Drosophila melanogaster: one gene and its partners. The protein of the gene in region 4 interacts with the protein of the main gene of each other region in a pairwise test. Each region holds a gene or a part of one and is shown on either strand. Other genes may lie near its edges.

Region 1 (7,581 bases), on a different chromosome or scaffold from region 4:
CGATAAGGTGATCATAGATCTGAACAATGAAACGGTCACAGTCGCCAGCAAGCCAGCCACTGCAGTCCGAAACGAAGATGTAATATTCCATCCGAACGTGAGTGGGTTACCTGGTGCTCGAATATACATGCTAATAGTATCTGATTTTCAATTCCGACAGTTCCTGGGCGACCCGGATATGAAGGCCGAGAAGTGGCTGCGCAAGCTGTACAATTACCGCCAAAAGTACATGCAGGAGTAGTCGAGTTTAGACTCTGTATTTAAGAAACAATAAACCTATGTCTAGAATATATCGCTGCCCGTCTTTCGAGCGCGTTGCAAGGCCTCCTCCGGAGTCAGTTGCTCATTGACCGAGGGCTCCTTGGCGCTGCCGTCCTTCTGCAGTTTTCCCGCCTTGAAATCTTCGATAATCTTCTGCGAGTAGACGGCGTTGAAGAGATCCAAGCTGGTGAACTCCGACTGGACGACGTCCGGCGCCTTATAGGACACGTATGGCTTTAGCTTACAACCGGTCAAATCGGGAACTATGATGTCCGGAATTTTCTCGGGAATCTCCACATACTGCCCGTCGACAAGTATGCCCGTGTCTCGTACACCTCGCTTGTGAATGGCTACCGGCGGATTGGCCAGTGTTTTCTGGGCTTCCTTTACCACGCGCGTACCGCGCTTGTTGTATGCGTTAAATTTACGGAAGTTCCGCTTGCCCTCCAGCACGGATGAAGTACTGATGGTCCTCTGCTGGCACCTTAGGGCAATGGGCACTACTTTAATACAATTATTCATTCTTATTTCGTTTTTCGGCGACCAAAATGGTTAAATAACAAATGTAGATGAGGGAACAGCTGTTTGGTTGGGTAGAGATGACACTTTTTTCGATAGACAATTAATCCCAGTTGGAAATGTATTGGAAGCCAATTTGCTATTAAACTACTTGTTTTTTTAAAAATACCGAAAAAGTTTTTTTTCTTTTAGGCCGTTGCCATATTTATTTTATCTTGATAAGAACTAAGTTGTTTTTTTTTTCAAAAACTAGGCATATTTTTTTTATGTGTAAAAGCAACCATCTCTTAATAAATCGATTAACTTTGCAGCCACCAGTGCTTAAAACGACTGTTAGTTGAAATGAAACTAGATGTTGGCGGATGTCGATGTTTTTGGCGAATAACATCGACGTTTTAAACATCGATGCTTTAAATAAAAATAATTGCTTTTTATTTTAATGTTGCTTAAATAAAACGTCAGTATTTGGTGTCCACCTTTTCATCCTCCGCTGGTCCAGTAATTGCTCCTATAAGACAAATGCACGTTTACATACATACATGTATATACATTTAGACGTGCATATGACATGCATTCATATGTGCAAGCCTTTTTCGGGTGTTAAAAACTTTCTTCTCAGATATTTTCCATGTCTATCACGACGCCACAATATGGTATTAATAATTGTATTAGAAGATATGGAAAATTAATTTGTACTTACAATTTATACGCTTTTCTCCTCAGATGCGATGTAGAGATGGAAAAACATCGATGATTCCTCGAAAACATCGATGAATGCGATTTTTTGAAAACATTGATGACATCCATGCTAGCATCGATGTTTCTCCATCTCTAGCTGAAACTCCCCAAATCGGCTTGTGATCCCTATAAAAAGTTGATTTAGATTCGACGGTTGTTAAACAATGTCGTTACCGGCTGAAGAGGAGGATTTGGCGGACACTGTCGCCAAGTACGATTCCATCGAATTGAAGAGCATACAGGACCTGGAAACCTGCGAGCAGCAACAACTACTGCAGTACGTCGAAAAGCTGCACGGGATTATCCGCAAATACGACACCAAACTGGCGTCCTATAAACAAAAACTCCTACACTACGTGAGTCCCAATTAAAGGTTGAGCTAAAATGGTCTTAATTTTTGATCTATTTTAAAGGTAAGCCGGGAAGAAAAGGTTTCGTGTGACAAAGCCAGCCAAGCAACTGAATCGGAATTACAAGAATGCCAGTATTCCATGGAAAACGATGAGGATACTAACAAAAAAGACCAGCCCAACGATTGTGAGTTAAAATTTGTTTTATTACACTGAGTCCTTCTATTATTGCTACAATAGTAGTGAGTTCCTACTTTGTTTTACTGGCCACCGCGGCCACCAGCGCAGCTCCACGTCCGGATCCGTCCTCCGAGAGCATGATGTCCCACTCCTTGTCTGCTTTCACCAGCTTTTGGAGTGTTTGCCTCATGTAGGCATCGAACTTTGGATGGTATCGGTAGACGGAGCCATCCATGCCGACTATCACGCGGCGGTTGGAAGTCCTGTTCACCAGCCCACTGACTCCGATGGCTACTAATGTAGCCGCTCGCTTAGCTACGCACTCGCAGATGTATCTCAGAGTCTGGCAGTCCTCCACGGAGGCCTTCTCTAGACCAAACAGATTTTTCACAATCTTCCTTGTGCTGGCAAACTCTGGGAAGGAGTCGTCCTCGATTTCCGAAATGTAGCGCGTCTCGAAAACCTCTTCGTTTCTCTGCAGCACGCTGGCGAATTCTGGACGTCGACTGCTCTGTTTAAAGATCAGCTTGCGCTCGAGGGCACGAAGTAGCACAAGGCGCACCAGGTTGCCCAAGTACATGCCCGCCGTCATCTTTTCGAACAGCTGCTCCGATCGGTTTAGAGACTTTTCGTCAACTTCGCGATCGTATTCGGTGCGCACAAAGTCCAACTGACCACCCTCACCAAAGGCGCCCCACTCAGCATTTACAATCACACTCCGCTTCGTTTTTTTAAAGTCTGCGCGCAATAGGTCCACATTCTCAACATCTTCAACGTAGCAGGCATTGCAGCCAGTTCCCACAATGACACCCACCCGGCAATCTGCATTACGATGGGCGCAGGACATCAAGGTGCCAGTGGTATCGTTGAGTATAGCCACCACGGCAATGTCGGCATCTCCGCGCCGCTGAATGGCCTCGTGCAGCATGCGGCCCACATCCTCGCCCTCAACCCCAGCACAATCGAATCCCTTAGTCCAGCGTACCAGGATGCCCTCCTTAAGGCCTAGTTGCACGCAAGGGAAGGAAAAAGTGAAGCCCAGTGGCAGATATGCGGTCTTCATGTCGTGTTTCTCCACAAATTTGGCCAGGCAGCCCGCAATGTGATCGAATAGGTCCACACCGGGCCCCACCATCAGGTCCTTTGGCACGGCATAGATCTGAGAATCCACCGTGGCGTCGTGGTGACCTTTCAGCGAGACGAGCAGTACTCGGAAGTTGGTACCGCCGAGATCCAGGGCCAGGTACTTGCCCATCTCGTCGCCCGTGGGCAGATCCTGCACGTACGTGGGAAAACACTTGACGTTGGCCTGTGGATGCGTGGACCGCTTAAGTCCACGGGCCACTTCCAGGCAAAAGCGACTGTACACTTCCTGCACCTGGTAATCACTCAACACAAAGGGTTGCATAAGTTCTCGCACCTCCGCGTCCAGCATTTTGCTTGGCTAATCTATCTGTCTTAGTTGTAACCGCCTCGAACGATGAGTAACGACTAACCAGGCGCCTGGCGAGCCCACGGCGATTTGGAGTTGCCCTGGGTGCCTGATAAGAGCCAGGCGTTGAGATGCAGTGCGCCTTGGAAACAACTGCTGCCGCTGCAATATGGGCGCTGCGTAGCAAATTAAAAACGAAAACACACCTAAGTAGCTGATTTGCGGATTCCGAATCTGAAACTACAACTGCGCGACATGCTAATCGCTCGTTGTCTCGTTTGCCGCTTGTCAATTGGTGGCAATAGCTTCAGATTCGGCACCCTACAAATTAATTGTAGATCGTCTTTAGCCGACTATTGGAAAGGAGGAAATATGTCACAATTAACTCTGCGAATAAATCCCGGATGGACACCGATCGCATGGCACAAGAATCCATTAAGAGATTACTATTAAAAAGTGTTTCAGTATCTACAAATAAGGTGTCCTCCGTTGTACTAAATTGTTGTATAACTTTTCGTAGAGTGCCATATTTCCGGAAAAAATGGCCAAGGCCGTATTTCACTTTTTTACTTTCTAAAAGCCATAAATTGTCACAGGGCGATATTAGCTGCAACACGCCTTCTTAGTTACGATGAGATAAGGCCGTTTCAAGGACCGCATCTTACAAGCGCAACCCACCCACTTGTCTATCTATTGAGGAGTATTGGCGGGGTCCTAGGTCGAGTACGTCAAACATTCCATGCCGGTAATGCCCGAGATAAGCACTGAAGTGTCGCATGGGCTAACGCCACTGCCCCTGACAAAAATCCGAGCAGCCCTTGACACTACTCTTAATAGAATTAATATGATTACGCAAAACTCAGGGGATTAGAAAAATAATTAGAATTCTTATACTAACACTTAAATAGCTACTTTATAGTTCGTCTAAATACATATAACTATAAACATTAATTTATGAATGTAAAGATAACTACAACCCATTTCCGACTATTTTTAAAGTTGAAATAAGGAAATGTTTTTCAAAACTGCTGATAACATTGCTCATTTTCGTGTCGTTCACCACAGGTTTCTGTTTTTATTTCTATATTGTCTTAAATATTTATAAAACCTTATCAATAACCATCAAAACATTACAAGTCATGTTTGGAAAATAATTTATATTTGCAGTATCGGCGACGGACGCCTTCAGTTTTGTGGACGAAATGAGGCAGGCAGCCAAGCACGCCGAAAACCTGAACAACTTCGTTTACGAGCACACCTCTGGCATGTACTACGATCCCAAGACGGGATACTACTATAACGCGGTAAATAAGCTATAAACAGCGGACGCAATCTTTATGACGTCCCGTTCTATTCCGCGATGCAGTGACTGCACCGCGATGACTTTCAGGGGTTATCGCGCTGGCAAACCTACATCAATGGCTCGGATTGTTGTTAATCTACACCTGCTTTTCTCTTCCTCGCAGGAGTACGGGCTGTACTACGATGGTAACAACGGCTGCTACTACAGCTATGATCACGCCAAAGACTCGTACGAGTTCCACTCTCAGGCCCAGGTACAGGTGAGTGGGTGTAGTTGCGGATTTCAATGCCATACGACCACATTAACCACTGTTCTTCTCCTCCTCGCTGCGCAGCCTTTGAGCGACTGCGCCTATAGTAGTCTTTTAGCGGGGTTTCACAAACTCCGCATAGACCGAATGCGTAGCAATGCATTAGGTAAGAGTCAAGGTCCAGAATGTGCGATAAAAACGCGGATTTCTTTTCTTAACTTGGTTGCAGGCGAACGATGCGGCCAAACCGGAATCGGAGGACGAGGATTTGGAGGTGCAGTTCGATGAGCTGGGAGGCGTCATTACGGACCACGAAACGCTGAAGAAGATTAAGGCCGAGAAGCAAAAGGCCAAAGATCAAGCTGAAAAATCCAAGCGCAAAGCCAAGAAAAAGAAGAGTAAAAAGCACAGCAAGAAGAGATCCAAGAAGGAGCGCCGTCACAAGTCCAAGAAGCGTCACAGGCATTCTGATGATGAGCGGTCTAATGATGCCGAGGAGGGCGAGCTGTCGCAAAGCAGCGACTCCAGTTCCGACTCTAGCAACGAGGATAGCAGCAGCAACACGGAAGACAGCAGTGTTCCAGTTTTCAAGGCTGCCGGACGCTTTCAAGGTGTTTAAGTTATCCGCGTTTTTATCGCGCTCTTCCCTGTTTGTTTAACTAACGCTTTCTTCTTTGCTTAGACATTGCTAAAAAGTATCCACCCTCCCTCCGCATCATTGTCCAGGAGACTAACGTAGAGTCGCTGAAAGTGGGAAGCCTGCATCTAATCACATACAAAGGTGGATCTCTTGGACGGGAGGGCGCTCACGATGTTATCATTCCGGACGTGAACGTCAGCAAGTGCCACTTAAAGTTTAAGTATGAGAACAAGTTGGGAATCTACCAATGTCTTGATCTGGGCTCCCGAAACGGTACCATTCTCAATGGATCCCCAATGTCCAGCGACGCCATGGATCTCGTTCACGGCAGTGTTATCACTCTGGGCCAAACAAGACTACTGTGTCATGTCCACGAGGGTAACAGTACCTGCGGTTTGTGCGAGCCGGGCCTTTTGATAGAGAATTCTCCGCCGGTAGTGGCCGCTGTTGCCTCATCCACCGCATCCGTATTATCTCACAAGGAGCAGTTAAAAAAACTGCAGCGCAAATATGGACTAGAAAACGAAAGTAAATACAAGACAACTTATACTCTCACTTTACTTTGACAATCCTTAATTCACTTTTAGAATTCGTTGATACTAGCGGCAATGGGCAGTCCAACTACAATGATCGTGCCGCAACAAGGAGAGTCCAGGTGGGCAGCAGTACAGATAAAGAAAAGACTGAGGTGGCTTGTGTGAACACGTGAGTATCAGCTTACACATCTTAACTTGAATTGGTTGACCAATGTGTTATTCGTTTTTAGTGAAATCGGTAGCTCTAATAAGGGTTTTAAAATGCTGAGTAAATTGGGCTGGCAAAAGGGCGAAAAACTGGGCAAAACAAATGCCAGTGCTGGACTTTTGGAGCCGGTAAGTGTTTTAGACTTATAAAGCTAGTCACTACTTCTAATACCAACCCGTTCGCAGATCAATGTGGTAGCCAATGAGGGCACTAGCGGTCTGGGAAACAGTGACCCAGTGCTGTCCAGCTCCAGAACCATTGACAAACGGAAGCTGGCCAACTTGAAGATCACTCAGGCGCGATATCAGCGCGCCAGTGATATGTTTGGACAATCGGATGATAGTGATTAGAAAGACATTTTGAATGATGTTGGAAACACATTTAATTAACAATTACTCAAACATATTTATAAGTGTATGTAAATATATATGTATGTATATACACATAGATTCTATGTATGTATATATTAATTCAAAAATCTTGCTATAAGGTTAAGCTATCAGTCAATTAATTAATTTAGCTTCGCTTATAAACAAAAAGAATAGGGGAAGGTAATGTTAAATAAATACGACTTCGCACACGTTGGTCTAAACTAATTGCGAGCCTAATGGGCATACAAACCGATCGTTTAAATTAATTATCGTGTAGCCTAATGTTAATGTTAAATACAAAAGCCTCTTAAGATATGTGGTTTCTCTTGCGATACATGCTGGATAAGATTTGCTGCAATACGTAATGTTGTAAGGTTGATAATACTTTGCCTGTATGTTAAGTGTATCGGATAATATGTAGTGTAAGCTCGGTAGGCTTGGGCAACAGCCGCAGGCCCATCCACCGATTACAACACGAAAACGCACAACGAGAATCTTTGGATGTTGGAGCTACGGAAGAACACGCTACATAAAGCCCTAGGCCGATGTGGTCGAGAGATGCATCCGATCTCCTAGCAGCTACCCTGGGACTTGACGCCGATGAAGTAGCGGGATTCGCAGGAGTGTTTGTGCATCTCACACCACGAGTTGTATGTCTGGTTGTTGTAGCCGCATATTTTGTGTACCTAATATTACAAAATTAATTCATAATAGGAAAGGAAATGTTTTATTTACAAAAAATCTGTACACACCGGTCGCTGCTGCTTCCGCGGACACTTGTAGCGACAGGTCA
Region 2 (4,568 bases), on a different chromosome or scaffold from region 4:
AACAGATCCATCTTGAGGTCATTGTGATGCGTCACGAAGGGCTTGGCAGTGGCTCCACCGGCGATCATGTTCATCATGGGCGTCTCGATCTCCAGGAAACCCAGACGATCCAGGAACTGACGCACGTACGAGATGATCTGCGGGCAATGGGAGTAGTTTTTGTTATATTCAGCTTAAACTCCTTAGTTCAATTCATACCTTGGCACGGATCTGGAATTTCTCTCGCACATTGTTGTTGAGAATGAGATCAAGATAGCGCTGGCGGTAGCGCGTCTCCTTGTCCTTCAACCCGAAATGCAGATGGGGCAGCATGTGTAGACAGGGCGATAGCAGCTTGATCTCGCTGGGCATAACGGACAGTTCACCCTTCTTGGTTTTGCCGGGATGTCCGACAACGCCGATGATATCACCACGTCGCAATTTGGACGTATCGATTTCGAAATCCGCCTCCGACTTGTAGGACTTAGCGCTGGCCATCACCTGCACCTTGACGCCCTCGCCGCGCAGATCGTAGAAAATGAGCTTGGCGCCCGACTCGCGTATGGCATGCACGCGCCCAGCCACGCTCAGTTTGACATTCTCCAGGGTCTCGCCCTCCTTGAGGCTGTTCTCGTACTTGGCAATGAAGTCTTCCAGCGAGCTACTCACATGGAACTTGTGTGGATAGGGATCCGTTGCGGGTGAACGTTTCAGCTCCTGAACGGCGGCGGAGCGCAGCTTAAAGTATTCATTCGGCGAGATCTCCTCCTCCTCGGCGGCACTGCTCTTCTTCTTGCCAGCAGTATTTTCCGCCGGCGCAGCGGCCGCCTTCTCAGCCTTCTCCTTGGCCTTTTGCTCGGCCTTCAGGCGACGCTTTAGCTCACTGTGGACGAAGAGAAACAGTTAGGGTATTAGCAGACAATGGAGATGTTGCCACAAGGCTGTTATAACCACGCATGGATATATATATATATATATCCAGCCTGGCCAACGGTGCGTATTAGTAACCCACAGTTTGGTCTGCTTGCTTGGCTCCATTTGCGGAGCGCTCACGTGGAAACCGGCGGCAAGTGGCTGAATTCCGGTGTATCTGCATCGGGGCCATGACCCCTGCACGGTTCTAAGGGCGCAGCGGGCGAACATGGTTATTTTAAGCAGCGTATTTCATCAGCAGAACTGCACACATGCAACATAAATAATGCGAACTGGAACGTTGCCGCTTCGCCCTAACCTACAAGTGGGGCAGCTACGTTGACCGGATTTAATGCTTGCGGTCAAATGGATACGCTTTGAAGCCTATGGCACTTACTTCTTGGACAGTTCTCCACTTGCAGCGGCCATGCTGATGCGGTTACGTTGTTCGCTGTTTAATCCCGGGGTCTCAGAAGCGATGGAAACCCAAAAGAAATGCGAATGCGAAAGCGCCACAAAAGTAAAAAAAAAAAAGTACACGACCAGCGCTGCCAGATGGGCATAAATCGATGCAACTGGCTTTGCCGCACCAGATGGCCAGTCTGGCGCGAGGGCATTTTTACGCCATTGACATCTGGTCACATTGCACTAGACCCGAAATATATATTTTATTTAGCTTTTGCAATATCCTTAAATTAACAATTGATCAACTAAAGCCACGGCCTTGCGGGCAGTGAGCACAGCACAGCACGGCCCAGAACTGGACTCAATGGCTGGAGGACGCGAAATGCTCCGGTCGGAAGGCAGCAAACATCAGAACGCCAAAGTAGAGCAACTGCAGCTGTAACTGTAACTGTTAACCCTGGGTTGGTCGCGGGGGCGGGGTGGCAGTGGTGGTTGTGGACCAGGAAGAGGAAGAGCAAGGGTGCTGGGAAAGAGGAAGAGCACATCTTGAGGCCAGGAGGCAAACGAGCCAATGGAGCCACCAGCTGCACCGGTACCCCTACAGCCACTGGCAGCATCTTCCGCCTGCCTGGCGGACAGGAGTCCAGTGGATCCCATTGCAGTCAGACTGCAGCAGGAGGAGCAGGCAGAAGGAGATGACGAGGAGGAGGAGGAGGAAGAGGAGGACGATGATGATGATCCCAAAGAAGAGGAGGCCTTCTACGAGGCGCGCAACGGCAACGAAAGTGACGAGCTGGAACAGGCCTTCCAGAGTGCCCTTACCCTGACCAACGATGTCCATGTGAGTGTCAGCGAAGTGGAGGAACATGAACCGCCCTTGGCATCGAGAAATCAGGAGGTGGCAGAGGTGGAGGAGCAGCAGCAGCAGCTGGGGGCCTGCGCACTGCCGCAGCCCAGCGAAGCCTGTAAGTAACTTGAGACTGACGAGCGAGTTCATCCACTCATCCACTTGGTTCTCTTAAAGCTCTTACAGGCTCAAAGGAGACCAGGGAACCGCGCCACCACCAGACGCTGCTTTCCACCAAATCTTGCGAGACGCCGGCCAATAATGCCACGCTCTCGCCGACCAACTCCTACAATGGCAGCATTGGCAGCGACGGCGGCAGCAGTGTGGGCGGTGGCGCCCGCCGCAAGTCCTGGACCCTGTCGCCGCAAAGCGGTGGCTCCACGCCCCTGAGCGGAGCCAAGAAGAAGACCAAGACGGGTGCGCCAACCACAACACTGTCCAATGCTAATGGCGACGGTTTTAATCTGTGGGTGGCACGTGAGTGCTTCGAAACAGTGCCCGCTGAAATGGTGGATACTCTGAGCATGGCTGAAGTGGACGAGGAGGTGGATGAGGAGGAGGACGAGGAGGCGGCTGCCGTGGAGAGTCTTCTGGGAGCCGCTGCTGCCCTCCAGGCCAGTGCCCATGTGCAGCGCCGTCAGCAGCAGCAGCATCACCAGCATCTTCGCCAGCCCTCGCCACCACAGCATCGTCCGCTGGAACGATCTTGGCCGCCGCGTGCCGTTGGTCGGGATCTGAAGCTTCAGGGCGATGTCTTTCAGTTCGACATCCTGGACACGGACGAGCGACTGGCCGAGGAGATGGCACAGGGCAGTGGGAGTTCGAATAATTCACCCCTGGCCACGCCGCCTGTGCGCTTTAAGCCGCTGCTGAAGAAAAAGATTGGACCCGATAGCTACATCAACACAATTAGCACACAAAAGGTGCCGGTCCACCAGAGCTATGAGTTCCCCACCTTTCCAAGTTCCTCGGCAGTTGGATCGTCATCTTCGTCGCCGAATAGTCTGCAATTTCCGTATCTGCGCCAGCACCGTCCGCTCACCCGTGCCCTTTCCAATGGCAAGGCCAGTTCATCGGAGGAGCAAGCCTCCCCACGCCTTCTGCTCTCACCAAAACGTCCGCGAAGTCCTCCTTCCGGTTGTTCCACGCGCAGTGCCTCTCCATTGGATATCAGCCTGAGTCCAGAGCAGCACTCGCCCACCAGAGGCAGAGGAGTGGGTGGTGCTCTGCAGGATGCGGTGCCGCCCGGAACTCCAACATTCCATGGTCAGCGACCGCAGCAGCGGCTGCTCAAACGTGTAGGCGGTGGAGCAGGAGCTGGTGCTACGGGAGGCGCAACCGGCTCGCCATTGGTATGTCCACCAACGCCTACTCACCATGCCCGTCGGCATGCCCGCCTCCAAGCCGTCACTGCCAATTCCAGCCTCGCCAGCGGAGGAGCGATCCCCTCGGATCCGCCAGCCGTCTCTAGTCAATTGGATTACATATATCTGCAAGATGGTGGCCAGGAGCAGGGTCAGGAGCAGTCAGACGAAGTTGTGCACATAAGCAGCACCCGCCTGCCCTCCATTCCAGAACGCAGTGCAGCCGCAGCAGCGGCGGCGGCGGCAGCAGCAGCTGGAGCCGCTCTCATGGAACCCGGAACGGGTACGGTATCCGGGTCTAGTGGAGCTGGAGCCGCTGGAGAGCCACCATTGCCGCCTGCTTGGGAGGCGCGTATGGACAGCCACGGACGCATCTTCTACATCGATCACACAACGCGAACAACCTCATGGCAACGACCAGGAGCGGCGCCAAGTGGAGGACCAGCAGGCAGAGAGCAACATCATCGCCAGCAGCTGGATAGGCGGTATCAAAGCATCCGACGCACCATTACCAATGAGAGTAGAGCTGCGCAGCTTTACAACCTGCCAACCTCGGCGAATAGTAATGCCAATTCCACAGCTCCAGCTGCTCCTCCGCCCGCCACGGCTATACATCCAGCCATCCTGATGCTCTGCCGCCCGGATTTCTACTCCCTACTGCACACCAACGAAGCTGCACTGGCCATCTACAATCGCAATGCCGCACTAAAGCACATGGTCATGCGCATCCGACGCGATCCGCCGTGCTTCCAGCGGTATCAGTACAACAAGGATCTGGTGGCGCTGGTTAACACATTCGCCCAGATGAGCAGGGAACTGCCCTCGTGCTGGGAGACCAAGCTGGATCAATCGGGCAAGCAGTTCTTTATTGATCACCAGCATCGTCGCACCTCATTCATGGATCCTCGTCTGCCGGTGGAGTGTCCTCGTGTGGTACGCCATCGCCAGCAGCATTCGCAGCAACAGTCCAGTGTGGGCTACTACTATCCGGATCTGGTGGATGGCAACTGCCTGTCCGCCACCAGTGGGCATATTAACGCCAGTCCAGCATCATCGGTCTC
Region 3 (4,043 bases), 8.4 Mb from region 4:
ATTAAATACTAAAGCTGTCTAATAAACATTATTTCATATTTCTTGAAATTCATTTCGTGAATTCATTTCGTAAGATTTGGTAAATATTGTCTGAGACTGCTTGTCACAACATTAGAACTGAGCTAATCAATAAAACGCGCGCTCCGAATTTTGAAGCTTCGGAGTTTTAGGAGTCAGGAGATTAAAAGAAGCAGCAAAATCCAGTTTTCGGCTAGACTACAAGACATAATTACTTTAAGTATAAAGAACTAACCTTGATAATCAAATTTACCTATACCTAAGCTTAAAAAAGGCAAACATTGTATTCGAAAATATTAGATGATTGTAACAAAGCAAACAATTCGCTTCACTGTGAAGAATAAATCAAATGCTAATCCAAAACATAATGTATCAAATTACAATATTTGTAAAGCTCTCCTTTAGTACACTGAATTCTTCTACCAGGTGGATCCAATCCAAAAGCAAACTGAAAACAAATTACACCTTTCGTGACGAGCTATTTGTTTTCCCGTGCCTTGAATATATTGATATATTGATATATTGATCAAGGTTAATTTAAATATAGCATGATGGATATCTTGGTATTAGATTGTGAAAGTTAATGTGGTTTTCGTCATTCCATCTTTGGCGACAATGTATTTAATTGTATTTACGTTTTAAAGACTATTTTCAACTAATTGTAGGAACTGCAGTCCAGACAATATAAGAGTAAAATCTTGTTGATATTAAAAAAAAATCAAGCCCTAAGAAAATTTCGCACTGCAATTATAGGTGTTCAATTATACAATATTTTGTTCACAATTTATTGTCAATTTTTTTTTCAAATCACGTCACAGTTTCCTGTTGAAGTTTTTTTTGTTAAACACAGTATGGTTTAAGCCCAATTTGGAAGTAATTATATTACAGTCGAGACTTTAATACAAATGACGCTATATTCGCTGAAACAAACAAATTAGTAAGTGCGTGATTAAATTATTTGTTTAGTACTTCCAGATGAGAGATTCAAGACACGATGTTAGTAATTAAAAGAGACTTTGGATGAAATTCCTTAAGTACCAAAAATTAGTAGGCTTGCCACGTGCCATATGTTCCCACAAAAATATGAATTGAATTTTAAATATCTATAGATACTAGAAGTATTGTGGAAAAGAATAATTGGTTTCATTCATGCACGTTTAAAGACTGATTCAATTGTAAACCTTTTTATAAAATGAATTAAAATATAAATGATTATCCAAGGTAAAACAGAATATTAGTTTTTCAGTTACATTTTATTTATATTCGTTTGGCTTAGCTTTATTTCTTTAGGAAACTAATTGTTTTCCTACTTTGACTGGCCGCATAAATTATACCATATGCTGCACATTGTCATTTATGTCCTCAAACTTGAAATTTGGCATGGGGGCCCAACGAATCCGCTCCTGAGTAAACAAAAGGCTGCTCGCGAGGTGAAAACAAACCACAACAATGATCCCCCAGAGAGCGCCGAAAACGAAAATAATTGGAGAGGGAGAGCGTGTTATCCAATTTTTCGGGGGAACTACTTGTGTGTTCAGCAAGCATATGAGCGGCCAGATCCGCAGTGGGGCAAACCCGCTCAGTATCGTTTCAGCCATAAAGGTAGTTGGTCGGAAAGAGCAGATAAAACTCGATCAACGCGAGAGTTTTGGCTGAAGATAAACGGCGAGCATCGGGAAAGTAAACAGAGGCGCAAAAACAAATGTTTGACTAATCTTAATTGGATAATTATATCACAATGGACGCAGTGCAGCAGCAAACAAACAGCACTAGCAACATCGACAGCGCCAAATGCCAGAAGCTAAAGAGATTTGTGATCGTAGGCTTGCTGATCACCATTGGCATTTTGAGCTGGCACTTCTACGGTGAGTTGTCTCTTTAAGCTCTCTTCCGTAAGCGAACGGACAACGGTTTTTTCTCTTAGAGTACTTCCACAGCAAGCCGCTGCCCAAAACGCCGGATGACGTCTTGACCCTCTCGAAGAATCTGTACGCGGAGGAGACCGAGGTCAGTCCATACCTCTACAAGGTGAATCTCCAGGGGAAGACCACTTCAGGTGCTCATGACGATCGCGCCCCTAGAAAGTAAGTACCTAGTTGCGCCGCCTAATGAATTTTATCATTAAAATATTTAATTTGATGATAAGGCAATTTAATTAAAATAATTATTAATTCATTAAATACTAAAGCTGTCTAATAAACATTATTTCATATTTCTTGAAATCTTCCAGCCTCTTTGAATTGCACCAGGATCTGCTGGCCAGGGATGCTAACTCCACCACCGCTCTGCTAATGAGGCTCTTTGACAACTACGAGTTGGACGTGGCTGTGCAGGAGCATCCAACGCCGGAGCACGTCCAGGAGCAATATGATTTCCTTAGGGCCGTGATGGGTACGCGTGTGATGAAGCTGACCATGCGTTTTTTGGTACACAAGGGTGAGTAACCTTTAAATGAAATAAATCAGACTAGTATACCTATCCAATACCATCTAGATATTGTGAGCGTAGAATATGACGATCAGCTGCGTCTGCTGCAGGAGCTGTGGTTCACTCCCTACTCCAGAGGTCGTGGCATTGTGGGCAGTTCCAGTTTCGAGCACGTCTTCATGGCGGAGATTCGGGACCAGAAGGTCCTGGGCTTGCATAACTGGCTGTACTTTGCAGATCAGGAGCAACGTGGCAATGTGGACTACAAGGGCTGGCTGAACCACAAGGAAATGGGAAAGGTAAGGCTTAAAGACAAATGTAACAGATGATCCTTACAAAAGGGGATTGCTATATTTCCTCAGCACAACCAAATGGTTCTCAGCGTTCGCTACACGTTTCACAACATCAATAAGCCAGTCAACGGCTTCTTTGTGGGCATCTCGCCCGAACTGGACATGGCCCTGTACACCGCCTGCTTCCTGGCCACGGCGAAGGAGGAACCCTGCCACATCCAGTTGGGTCATGCCTCCGCCACGATTGTCTCCCACGAATGGAAATGGAACGGTATGCGCCTGATAGGAACCGTCTATCCGGACAGCTCCTAGATCACTCCAACCACCCATCTCGCAACCTCAGTCAAATTACTGACATTCGATTCGGTCGCACTGTTACCTCATCGAAATCAGCAAAAGGCTAACCTCCAAGCTCAAAGTCAAGTTCATTTTATTTTGCCACTTTATGAGTGCTTGGCCCAGTTGTCGCTGGCAATTGACGAGGATGTCAGTCAGGACATGAACAATGCCCATCTGCCTATCATTTTGGTTGTTTTGACAGGATTGCGTGGCGCAGAGCACTTACATCACGAAGTTGTTTATTAGTTCTAACATTAATAGTTATTACTGGCGGAAATTATGCAAGAGGCAAAAGCGTTTATTTTGAAGGAGCGAAAGGAGGAAAAGTGAGTGTGACGTTTTAGTATTATGCAGTCATTAAGCTCACCCTCGAAATGGATTCTACCCACTATAATTTTTATACCTTTGAATCTCTTGAACTAGCTAGTTGAAAATAAAATAACAAAATCAACTTATTTAAAATGGATTTATTAGTTATAAAACATGAATTTCCCTTCTTCGTTTAATTATGGAACACATGAGTAGAAGTACGTTGATTGAAGAAACTGTTGCTGGAGAACTCGGTGCTGACCCCTATTCATGGGCATCTAGATGGCGCTCGATGGTGACGGTCTCGTTGGCAATGTCCGCCTGCTGGACCACGGCCGGTGCACTCGACCTTCTGGCTGTGATGATGGTGGTCTGGGCCGGGGACAAGCTCTCCTCCCCCGAACCATTTTCAGCCAGGACCACAAAGGTCTCGCTGAGATCGGCCAATTCCGAGCAGGTTTCATCGTTGGACGAGCGCATCAGGCTGGGACTACTGATGGAGCACTCCAGCGTCAGGCGATCCTCGCAGTCGGGACTCCAGCTACTTTTTGCCGGCGGCTGACGCGGCAGGCTGTTGTGGCACAGCGGATTTTCCGCCGGCGACTGCTCCAGCCGCAGCTGCTGACCCCACAGCTCCACTGCCCGGGCGCGATTGTG
Region 4 (3,381 bases):
TCATTCCACTTTGAAGAATCTTTCGTTTGCTCGAGCCCAGCCGAGGGCAATTCAGGAATATATACTTCCTATTGTTATTTTTTTACCATTCTGCATTTCTCAGTCATTATGAAACAATTTAAATTTCTTACATAGAAACTATACTTTTGATTTCACAGGCTTTTAAAGCAACGTTCATACACGGGTATGCATAAGCAATGGCAAAACCCACCCCGATTTGGTTTGCCATACAGCACGTTTGCCCGACTGCCAGCTTGTAATTCCCAAGTGCTTATTTGGTCAAATACTCGTATAAATACGATATCTGCTTCCCGTTACTTCGGAAGTGTATTCTGTGATTGTTCTGTACATTGATCGATATTCAGGTAACTGCATCTGCTTATCAGATCTGTTCAGAGCCGACCCTCCGTCACACCTTTGTGTTTCCCAGTAATTCTGCCTGGCGTTGCCGTGGCTCCTCGTTCGGATCGGCTTTCCGCTGCCTTCCACTGGATGACGACGGGTTATCCGGCGGTCGACGCACGGTCATGCACCCCCGATCCGTCGCCCCCACCACCCCGCGGATTCTGGTCTCGACCGGAAGCCGTATTGGGCGGGGACGGGCGGCGGTCCGGTGCTGAAGCCGGCGACAGTTGCCCGAGTCAGCCACTTTCAAAATTTGTTGGTTAAGTAACTTAGTAGCTTAGCTTCGGATTTTCGTAACAAATTTGCTGTTCAGAACACTTCCATGTACGCGGCATTGCCGAGCAATTTGCCCATTCTTTTGCTGCAGCGAACTACGTTCCAATATTTATTTATTATTTATTTTGTTATTAAAATGCATATTTATACAACTTATTATTTGAAAGTAACAATTTCTTTTTTTACAGTGAAACTAGAACTCTCAAAAATAGAACCCCAAATGCATTTTTGCTCGTAACAGGCAAACGGTATCTTGATACTAATATACGGGCATGTGTAGCATTACGGATTTCGAAGAGTATTTCTACTAGTTTTTAAGTTTTGAGATTTTTAATGCATATCGATTTCATGAATAAAGTTTCCTTCCAAAAACTAAATATGTATTTCTACTTATACTCAATAATCTCTTTTCCATGAGCATTGCAATATGACGACTATTACCAAGCAATTTAGAAGCATTGGCACATTTAGGCAGTATTCAGCTATTAGGTCCACCAAGCACGAAGTTATCGGTCCTCGCACTCGGAACTGATGTTTTATGTGGAGGTTTACTTAATTGTACGTTCAAAATTGCTTAAGCAACTAATTGTTATACCTTAACAAAGAAAAAATAAAAATTGGGGGTATTCCATTAGGTTGTAAGTCGGTTGTGAATTTTTGAATTTAAACCTTTAGATCAAATGTACTTGTCAGAAAAATTAAATTAGAACACAAATTTTTTTAAACTAAAAGTAATTTAAGTAATAAATGTTCAGGAATGCCCTTGCCAAGAGCTAGTATTTTCCAAATTACATGCAGTGCATTTAGTATATTTTTGACAGTCGACCTGTGAGTGTGTGTGCTACTACTACACGGTCACACTGTTTGTATGTTATAAACAAGCGTGGTTGCCGCACAAAATGGATTCTATTTTTCTGGTAGACACAACAGGACGCCAGGAATTCAATGGCGAGCAGCAGCAAAAGAAGATTGTGTACAACAAAGAGCTGCTCCTGACAGAAAGTGACGCGCACAGCGAGGAGGACGAGGAACAAAATGAGGGCGCAGTGGAGCTCTTTGGCCTAAAGTTGAACTCCAAGGAAGTGCTCGATGTCGTGAATTCCCTGCCTGACCGAAAGAAGCCGGTATCCAAGGTTGCCAAGCAGCTGGAGGACCTCTGCGAAAAGGTCGAGAGTGCAGTGGAGAACTCCAGCAAACCGAAAGTAGTGCCCCGGAAGCGGGTAACAGAACTGAACCACGATGCTCCGCATCTGGACCTGCGGCAGGAAAACCTGGAAAGTAATATGAAGAGGACGAAACAGGCCTTGAATCCAGGACTAGAACAGGCGCATGCACTGCCCACCGTGGGAAAGAGGCAGCAACCCATCATCAACAGAGTGAGTGTGAAGCGATTTGTTCGTACAAACAGCCCTTTTGCCCATGATGAAATATTCGACATCGGAGTTTGCGCATTGGCGACAAGACCTAAGGCTCAGACTCTAGCAAATCTAGTTTCATCCGTTGTAATCTTTGCTGCTGCACTCCAGAATTTGCAGTGGCCGTAAGGCCAGCGGGACACCAACAGCCAGGGATCAAGACTATTATCTGTCATTGAGTCCTAGACAGATAGTTTAGTCTCTGGTTTACAGAACACCCAAATGGAAATGAAACACGCGCTTTTGTCGACCCAGGAGCCAGTTAGGTCTAAGCTGTTTGTCATGGTGACGACGTCTTTAGTAATCTGAGCGCAACATATTGGAAATTTCAGACCCTACCTTGCTTTTATTTTTAATCGCCTTCCTTTTTTCAGGCTGAACGCTCAAAGACCAAGGGCAAGGGATGGTTTAATCTGCCCGCCACAGAGATCACCGACGAGATGCGAAACGAACTGAAAATAGTTCAGATGCGATCGGTTCTGAACCCTAAGCAATTCTACAAGAAGAACGACCTTAAGAGTCTGCCCAAATTTTTCCAAATCGGTACTGTGCTACCTTCGCATTTGGATCACTACCAAGAAAAGAAGTCCAAGAAGAAGCAGTCGCTGGTAAATGAGTTGTTAGAAGACGAGAGCTTCCAGAAGTTCAACAAGAGGAAGTTCAACGAGGTTATTAAGCGCACAGACAAATACGCCTATCGGAAAAACTTGAAGAAAATGAAAAAACTTAAGAAAAATAAATAAATATAAAATATTTTAAAACCTAACTTACTCGTCTCTATATTTTATTTGAACTTAAATAATGATGGGGTAAATAGTCAAGTCAGAAAGTAGTCACTCCAGAGATCGTGGAGTATCGCAAGATCCGTATGGTTAGTACCTTTCTGCGAAATAGAGGAGTTTATTTTATGTTCTCTTCCTTTGGCCAAATATTTAAAAATCATATTCCTCAGTAAGATTCTTTATATTGTGTGTATTAACAATATTTTTGACAAACTAAATTGATAACTTTATTCTAAATTGTTATAAGTGAACGAGGAAAGTTTCTTTTTAATTTTATAACCAATCTTTGAATCATGTCTTCCATCTAGTTTCCGTAGTGTAGCGGTTATCACGTGTGCTTCACACGCACAAGGTCCCCGGTTCGAACCCGGGCGGGAACAGAAAGATTTTTTATAACAATTTTTATATATATTTTTTAATGACTGTGTTTTAATTTCGTTTAACTTAAATTTATGATTTCAAAGTAGAAGAACAGATCGATAAATTTCATATAAAGCTGGTCA

Evidence for each region.
Region 1: the proteins of CG1142 (region 4) and CG8079 interact in a two-hybrid assay, tested with the Drosophila melanogaster proteins (one large-scale study listed by BioGRID).
Region 2: the proteins of CG1142 (region 4) and Hecw interact in a two-hybrid assay, tested with the Drosophila melanogaster proteins (one large-scale study listed by BioGRID).
Region 3: the proteins of CG1142 (region 4) and EndoU interact in a two-hybrid assay, tested with the Drosophila melanogaster proteins (one large-scale study listed by BioGRID).

What each region holds. Positions count from the first base shown.
Region 1 is NT_033778.4:15,216,782-15,224,362, forward strand, and holds CG8079 (uncharacterized protein), read left to right. Parts: upstream 1-1,599; 5' UTR 1,600-1,682; coding exon 1,683-1,874; intron 1,875-1,931; coding exon 1,932-2,055; exon of another isoform or gene 2,056-2,118; coding exon of another isoform or gene 2,119-3,483; exon of another isoform or gene 3,484-3,548; intron 3,549-4,647; coding exon 4,648-4,784; intron 4,785-4,946; coding exon 4,947-5,042; intron 5,043-5,117; coding exon of another isoform or gene 5,118-5,262; coding exon 5,263-5,644; intron 5,645-5,715; coding exon 5,716-6,201; intron 6,202-6,260; coding exon 6,261-6,378; intron 6,379-6,439; coding exon 6,440-6,545; intron 6,546-6,602; coding exon 6,603-6,767; 3' UTR 6,768-7,034; downstream 7,035-7,581. Other genes in the region: CG11808 (uncharacterized protein), read left to right, coding at 1-97, 161-241; mRpL41 (mitochondrial ribosomal protein L41), read right to left, coding at 283-783; Hex-C (hexokinase C), read right to left, coding at 2,119-3,483; Fs (follistatin), read right to left, coding at 7,361-7,474, 7,541-7,581.
Region 2 is NC_004354.4:9,607,431-9,611,998, forward strand, and holds the start of Hecw (hecw ubiquitin protein ligase), read left to right. Parts: upstream 1-1,515; 5' UTR 1,516-1,867; coding exon 1,868-2,261; intron 2,262-2,320; coding exon 2,321-4,568. Other genes in the region: LysRS (Lysyl-tRNA synthetase), read right to left, coding at 1-137, 199-862, 992-1,122.
Region 3 is NT_033777.3:15,906,837-15,910,879, forward strand, and holds EndoU (endoribonuclease U-specific), read left to right. Parts: upstream 1-1,561; 5' UTR 1,562-1,756; coding exon 1,757-1,883; intron 1,884-1,942; coding exon 1,943-2,102; intron 2,103-2,248; coding exon 2,249-2,454; intron 2,455-2,511; coding exon 2,512-2,744; intron 2,745-2,807; coding exon 2,808-3,050; 3' UTR 3,051-3,531; downstream 3,532-4,043. Other genes in the region: CG45105 (uncharacterized protein), read right to left, coding at 3,651-4,043. UniProt on the Drosophila melanogaster protein: Endoribonuclease that cleaves single-stranded RNAs at uridylates and releases products that have 2'-3'-cyclic phosphate termini. Preferentially cleaves single stranded RNA at poly-U sites with CU, UC and AU sites cleaved less efficiently.
Region 4 is NT_033777.3:7,471,937-7,475,317, reverse strand, and holds CG1142 (uncharacterized protein), read left to right. Parts: upstream 1-1,536; 5' UTR 1,537-1,580; coding exon 1,581-2,057; intron 2,058-2,095; exon of another isoform or gene 2,096-2,411; intron 2,412-2,470; coding exon 2,471-2,839; 3' UTR 2,840-2,860; downstream 2,861-3,381.